Linked DNA regions of Danio rerio. The protein of the gene in region 2 interacts with the protein of the main gene of each other region in a biochemical or structural test. Links are inferred from orthologs where the notes say so. Each region holds a gene or a part of one and is shown on either strand. Other genes may lie near its edges.

Evidence for each region.
Region 1: the proteins of itpr1a (region 2) and cabp1a form a complex in vitro, tested with the Homo sapiens proteins (2 studies listed by BioGRID). The link is inferred for Danio rerio from reciprocal best matches to the Homo sapiens genes ITPR1 and CABP1.

The regions. Positions count from the first base shown.
Region 1 is NC_133183.1:48,381,972-48,386,136, forward strand, and holds the start of cabp1a (calcium-binding protein 1a), read right to left. Parts: upstream 2,880-4,165; 5' UTR 2,248-2,879; coding exon 1,567-2,247; intron 1-1,566. UniProt on the Homo sapiens protein: Modulates calcium-dependent activity of inositol 1,4,5-triphosphate receptors (ITPRs). Inhibits agonist-induced intracellular calcium signaling.
Region 2 is NC_133181.1:42,526,537-42,530,193, reverse strand, and holds part of itpr1a (inositol 1,4,5-trisphosphate-gated calcium channel ITPR1), read right to left. Parts: intron 2,983-3,657; coding exon 2,782-2,982; intron 2,711-2,781; coding exon 2,600-2,710; intron 2,182-2,599; coding exon 2,086-2,181; intron 1,971-2,085; coding exon 1,842-1,970; intron 1-1,841. UniProt on the Homo sapiens protein: Inositol 1,4,5-trisphosphate-gated calcium channel that, upon inositol 1,4,5-trisphosphate binding, mediates calcium release from the endoplasmic reticulum (ER).

The DNA.
Region 1 (4,165 bases), on a different chromosome or scaffold from region 2:
GAGACGAGGTTCGAACCAGCGACCCAGCGACCTTCTTGCTGTGCGACGACAGCACTACCTACTGCGCCACTGCCTCGCCTCTAATTGGATTAATAAAACCATAAATATACATAGATGCCTCTGCTATTTCTTTGGGCTGTAAGTTGTCTGCCAGATTGAAACTGCAAAGCCTGATCTGAAAACACTTGCAAGCTGACTTTGTATCTCCAACAATAGTTAAGTCCCGTTAAAATCTATCTATCTATCTATCTATCTATCTATCTATCTATCTATCTATCTATCTATCTATCTATCTATCTATCTATCTATCTATCTATCTATCTATCTGTCTGTCTGTCTGTCTGTCTGTCTGTCTGTCTGTCTGTCTGTCTGTCTGTCTGTCTGTCTGTCTGTCTATCTATCTATCTATCTATCTATCTATCTATCCATCTATCCATCTAATAGGCACAACTCGCTTTACCATTTTTCAAAAAACAGGAAGGAATTTAAAACAGGCTGTGCAATGCATCTTGTGGCATCATGAAAATCATTTTTTTTTTTGCTTGTGAATGACAACTAAATGACTTTTTCAATGGCATATGCATCAATGTGTCTGAAGCAATTTAATGCGGCATCTATATACACACACACACCTATATTTATAACATCATTTTTTCTACACACAGAATGAAGCTGTATGTTTTCTCACTTGGAATGTAAAACCTTTAAATCACCCCAAACCTTTCATTGAGGATTCAGCACATTTGGGTGTGATAATTATTCAATTATTCATGCAGTACATTATATCAAACTCTTCTTGACACACTGAAAAACATCATTGAAGACCCAAAACATAGTCAACATGAAAACTCTTGACTGTTGCACATTAATAGTTTGAATTTTTACAATATGGTTATGGTTCAAAATTAATTTTAATAAATTAAATTAATTAATTGATTTTTCTTGTATGTCATAACTTTTGAATTCATTTTTTTTTACGTAAAATACCATCTTGCATTCAGATTTTTTGTAAATTTACTACTGTTAATATATAAATACTTTTTTAAATTAGTAATATGCACTGCTGAACAATTCATAAGATGAATTTATCAGTATTTGGACTTTTTAACCCACTTATTACAGATAATGTTAATAATGTTTTATTTATTCATAAAAACCCTTAAAAATATAACATAGAGTAAACTTTTAGTAACATTTTAGTAACAGCAATCTTGTAATATTTTAATCAAATATTTATTAGAAAAAAAAAAAAAACAATCTGCTACCAATGGTAAGCTTGTAGAAAACTGAGATTAAACTTATGGTAGGCTAATTAACATAAAAACAACACAGCTTATTATAGTAAATCTATGAAATGGGAACTATTAAAGGACAAAAACTGTTATTAGCACATGTTCAGACTACATAACTTGATGACAGAAACTTGATGTGCATAAGGACGACATTTATTAAAATCATGTCTATTAGCAAAAAGTTTATTTAGTTGTCTTTTTGTTCTGCTTATGGTTTATACTCATTTAACAACCATCAAGAAAGTCATTTTCCAAGCGTGTGCTCGGGCCTTACCTGTCCAAACACTGAGCTGAGAAAGGGTCGCAGGTTGAAGTCTGCTTCGGAAGATGCTGCGCTGGACCTCGCTGACCTCCGGGAGGAGCGGCTGGAGGACGCGGGCACCGGCGAAGATGAGGCGGTGGAGGCTGGACCCACCTCTCTGCTCGTGGAGGAGCCCGGTCGAGCCGGCGGAGGAGACTCAAAAAAGAGCGACGTCTCGTCTCTAGACTCGGAGAAAGACTGAGTTCTGCTGGGCATGCGAGCGGCGTGAGAGTGCTTGGGTCGGGGCTCCTGGGGCAGGTCGTCCCGGGTGGAGCGGTGGCGGTGATGGTGATGATGACGATTGTGGTGGTGATGATGGTGATGGTGATGATGGTGATGTCGCCTGGTTGTCTTGCGCTCTTCTCCACCTGGAAGCTCCGACAGGTCCTCCTGACTGCGAGCCGCGGAGAGAGCGTGTCCGTGGGAGGGTTGTGGGTGGCTCTTCTCTGCGCTATTCCGGGTACCGACCAGTGAGGGGTGACACAGGGGTCTCCGCGAGCTCGCATCGCAGTCCGCCGGCTCCGCTCCAGATGCCGCCGCGGAGCGCTGATGCTGCGGTCGCCGATGATCGGGCGGCTGGACCGCGCTCCTGGCCGGTGCAGAGGATCTCAGCAAGGAGGTCGTCGATTCGCTTTTGGGGAGCGTGAAACTCATCCTCTGCCTTTTCAAATGCCCTTGAAGGTAAAGGCTGACCTCCGATGTGTCACATTATTATGGCTTGAATAGAATAGCCCGATGTAGAGAGCTGAGGGTACATCGGTACCTCCTCGATGGCATGTTGGGCTTGAAATGATGCTGTCGAGATGTTGGAGTTGGTGCCACCTGATTGCTCCGTAAGGCGGTGTAAGCGCTATTCTGGTAGGACGCGTAGGTATAAGGGGAGATGGGCAAGGAAATAAACCAAAAAAAGATTCAGAGAGAGAGAGAGAGAGAGAGAGAGAGAGAGAGAGGGAGAGAGAGAGAGAGGACACGAGGAGAACGTATGTTGTGCATCATCAGATGCCTGTGGGTGACAAGACAACATACAGTGTATGGACCAGAAACATATGGAAAGGATTTTTCACTCCGTTCATAAACAAAGTGGGCTAATTATAAAATGTGATCCTGCTAAATAAACTTAAAGTTTTAAAATTATTATGTTGAGCAAAATCCTTATCCCTTATGGTTTTATGGTTATTTGGACATTACACATATCAAATGAGTTTTTTTTACAGCCTACATAAAAGCAAAGTGCATTTTTATTATGCAAAATCATATTATAAAAAGGTCAATAAAATAATGTTTTTATAATGGACGTCATTCATTCATTCATTTTCTTTTTAGCTTAGTCCCTTTATTAACCTGGGTTGCCACAGCGGAATGAACCACCAACTTATGCAGCACGTTTTTACGCAGTGGATGCCCTTCCAACCGCAACCCATCTCTGGGAAATATAATAGGCATATGTTTAATGGGAAAAAAATATTTAAATATAAAAATGTTTTATTTACTTTGAAAAATGTTAGAACCATTGGCACATCCCCCCAGGAAACTCGAAGAGGTTTGTGACAAGTGAAATTTCAGTAATGATGATGACAGAATTTTCAGTTTTGGGTAAATGAACTATCCCTTTAATATTTATTTTTTTCCTGTCAGTGTAAACTTCTGAGGTAACAGGTTGATCTGATAAAACATAAATAAATTAGTTTATAATGTATGTTTAATTCAATACCTGTGTTTAATATTTAATTACATACTGTCATAAACCTCTGAGATGACACAAATAATAAAATGTCTAATGTAAGACTTTTAATTTAATTAAAACGGAATGATGCCTTTTTATTAAGATGTATGTTTAATGCAAAACCTGTGATGAATATTTAATATGGTAAAGCTCTGATCTGACAGCTTAGCCTATTAATAAAAAACAACAATCAAATACTTTTATAATACATGTTTAATGGAAAAAAAAACATGTATTTAAATTTCAATGACCTGTAGGTTATGTAAAAGTCTGAGCCAACATTGTTTTTTTCTTTTCTTTTTTTAGATAAAATGAGAAATTAGATAAATATAGAAATTCAGATAAATGTTAAATGAGAAAACAAATCTAAACTGTAATTATATATAATGTTTACTTAACTAATGTCTGACAACTTACAATAAAAAAAAACCTGGTTTATCACATAAATACATGTTTATAATATTCATTAATGCCTTGTTTATGTAAAATTATAAGGACAATGTTTATTAGATAATATAAATGCAAACATATTAAATACATTTGTTTACAATACACGCTTAATTAATAAAAAAAAAAAATATATATATATATATATATATATATATATATATATATATATATATATATATATATAATGTGTAATGTAATGTAACAGGTGAATATAAATTAAACAATTTAACAAGAGTTTATATTCAGCCTACATTATCCAGAATAAAATTCACAACTCACAATGACAAGCAAAAATACAAAACATAGCAATGCAATATGAGATTCATAAAAGCGAGTGATTAACTCATTATTAATTCAAATTTCAACTGATTTTTAAATTCATCTTCCCATAGTCATTAG
Region 2 (3,657 bases):
GAGATGTGCCTGGGTATCAGGGTTTACTTAAAAGTCTATTTAAAATCTTCCTACATAGAGACCAAAACAAAAACTTGCCGAATGACAAAAATTAAAAAAAGCAAATTAACAGTATGTTATTGTGTCCATTTTTACAACAATCTATGGTGTCCCCAGAAAGTGTGCGAAAAAAAAAAAGTTTTCATGCACGCTTTTTATATGCAAATAAGCTGCAACTCTCTTTCCAGAAGAGGGCAGTGGCTTTACAGCACATACTTCAGATACCCCAGCACAACAAACAAAACCTGAATCCATTTTTAAGCCTAGTTTACATTTTTTGTTTAGAAAATTCTGAATGATATTATATAAAATGTTTTGAATAAAATCATTACGAATAGTTACATTTCTGGATATGGCGACATCCTATTACTAACAATCAACTCAACACAGCCTAGACCAGTTGAGCATAACCTGGGTGGGAATCACCAGTGGTGTAAAGTAACTAAGTGGAGAATCAGTACTTTTACTCCACTACTTTCCTTCAATCTGCAGTCACTATTTTACTTTATCTTGTCTATGGGGATTAGAAAAATCAGTCCTGTGATTCCTGTCCAATCAAATCGCACATAGAAGGTAAATCGCATTATAATGAACAACCTCAAGACATGTTGGTGACGTATAATTGCAGCAAACCATTTGGAAGCATTAAAAGTGATTAAGAAGATGTCCGAAATCATCTTTACACACATTGACCCAGAGACTGTTTAGATGCATGTCACTGAAGAGAAGATGATGGATGTTTACTGTTGTTTACATGACGTCAGATTGACGTTGTACCCCAACATTGCACCATCGTGGGGATGTTGCATTTTGTTTGGAAATGAAAACTGGGTTGATGTCAGAATGCCGATGTCAATGTCCAACGTCCAACCTAAAATCAACCAAATATCAACGTCTAATGATGTTACAGCTTGACGTTGTGTGGACGTTACTACTATGAAGTCTATCAGATGCTGGATTTTGGTTGTCATACCTGATAAATAACTGTCAGTAACTTACATCAATATGACGTGGGGTAAGATGTTGGCTCAACGTTGGATTTTGGTCACTTTCTAACACAACCTAAAATCTACCAAATATCCACATCTAATGATGATACAGCTTGATGTTGTGTGGATGTTACCACTGTGGCGTCTACCAGATGTTGGATTTTGGTTGTTATACCTGACGAATAAATGTCAGTATTTGACGTCAATATGACGTTGGTTTAAGATGTTGGCTCAATGCTGGATTTTGGTCACTTTCCAACACAACCTAAAATCTACCAAATATTAACATCTTTTGATGTCATTTTTGAATAATGTTGTCCTTAGACGCTGGCTAGACATAGAATTTTGGTCACCTGACATCTAATCTAATCTAATATTAACATCTTATGACATAGTGTGCAGAATGTTAAGTTTAGACACATCCTCAAATTACACTGAAATGCATCAGCTTTTTACAGCATAATACTCACTGCTCACTACTCCTGAATACTTTTGAAAGGTCTACTCTTTACTCATACTTTGAGTAATATTTACAGCAGATACTTTTACTCTACTTGTAAGTAATGGCACTTTTACTTAAGTATGATTTTTTAAGGACTTTCAACCACTGGGAATTACATTCAGCAAAAGCAGCAGCAACATTCAAGATAGTTCAAACTAGTGTACAAACAAATAATAATATGACTCTTGTAAACAAAATGCTCTAATATATTAAACATAAATTTATTGTGGATTTAACAGACTATGTGAAAACTGTGGAAAATCATATACCACAAAAAGTTCTTATGTACAGATGTGATTGTATGTGTGTACCTGATGTGCAAGAATATAGATGTTGTGTCCAACATTGCGAGGCGATGCTGCATGATCCTCTCCATTCTCCTGTTCCTCATCCTCAAACTCTGCCTCCCCCTGCTGGTAGGCCATTTTCATCACCTCCACCTTAAACATGAACACAGTCAGGATTGTATAAATGCTGTTGTGACTTACCATCTGCTTACATAGTATGATTTCAGTTAGCACAATGAGTGCAACAGAATGTACAGTGATAACTCACTAGTTCTTTTGGTCTCATGTTGTACAGAATTCTTTCTGCATTCTCACTGTCATGACGGCTCTCCATGATGGCCAGCAGCAGCTTAGATGCATTATTCTGAAGAATTAAGACAAATGATGGTTCACAAGATACAATTTTAAAAAATATCTGAATATTTCAAAAACTGAATATTTAACAGATATATTAAAATAAATAAAATTAAATATTATTGAAACACAATATTTTACTGAAATAATATTATTACAAAAACATTCTAGAATTATGGAATTTAAATATTTATAATAATATTATTTGTTAATTTTAATATAGCATAAATCCTAGTTTTTGTAAAAAAAAATTGAGCAACTTTTTTCATGCAATTATTACAGATCTTCCAGAAATATCTTGAAAGCCTTAAAAAAAATTCAAAACGTCTGAAAAATTTCTGCTTTACAAGTCTTTAAAATTACACAAACTTCAGAAACTACAACTGAAAAGTATTGTTACTTTGTCAATTGAGTGTAAAATGATATACCTTTAGTTCTAGAACCAGATCCATTCTCTTCCTGCCCAGTGGATTAATATCATTCAGAATCAGTGCAATAATGATGTCGATGCCATTAGACTCATGGGTGGCAATGCAATTCTGTTGAATATGGTAAGTATGAGTGATAGAAATATGTGAAATAACTGAAAAATTGAAGTGTGAGTACATGCCTGATTGTCATGGCAGGGACCTTGACAGTATTCAGTGAGGCTCTCTACAGTCTGATTAATGAGCGCTACGTTATGCTGGTTGATGTAGAGTCCTAACAGCCCCAGGCCTCCTGTTGTGCTGCCACAGATACAGTCCAGGAACTGCAGCGTCTCACACACCAGATTATAGTTGTTTTTATTGTTCTGACAGCGCAGAAAATTCTGTGGGGAAAAGAGGAGAAATTATAGGCTGAATTTGACCATACTCAACGGTATACAACACACCCAATAATTTACTCTGTCATGTGACTGGTTTCAGGTTCCTGATGTTTAAGAAAACAAATGTGCAAGACAGTTCTCAGAGGTAATTTTACAAAATCGGTTTGAGGAGTGACTTTCTCTCAGGTGTTTGCAGATTTCTTAAAACAAAATAACAGATGTATAATGTAAAATAAAGTCAAAATTATTAGGCCTCCTGTAAATTGATTTCTTTATTTAAATATTTCCTAAATAATGTTTGTAGGAATAAAGAGCAAGGAATTTTTCACAGTATTTCCAATAATGTTTTTCTTAAGTCTTAACTGTTTTATTTTAGCTAAAATAAAAGCAGTTTTAAAACCATTTTAAGGTCGATATTATTAGCCCCCTTAAGCTATATTTTATAAATCAGTTTTTTTTTAAGAAATAAAGATTTAGTTGAGTGCAAACGTATTTAATGCACGTTTTTAGAATGTATGTGCATCTTAGTGTTTCCCTGCGAAATCCTTAAGTGCAGTTTTAAATAAATAATTGGATGAAAACAGCTAAAGACAGATTTATTGAACCATTCAAAACAGATTTAACAATTTATTAAAAACAGATTAATTCAGGAATAAAATAAAAAATAAAATGCAGTGT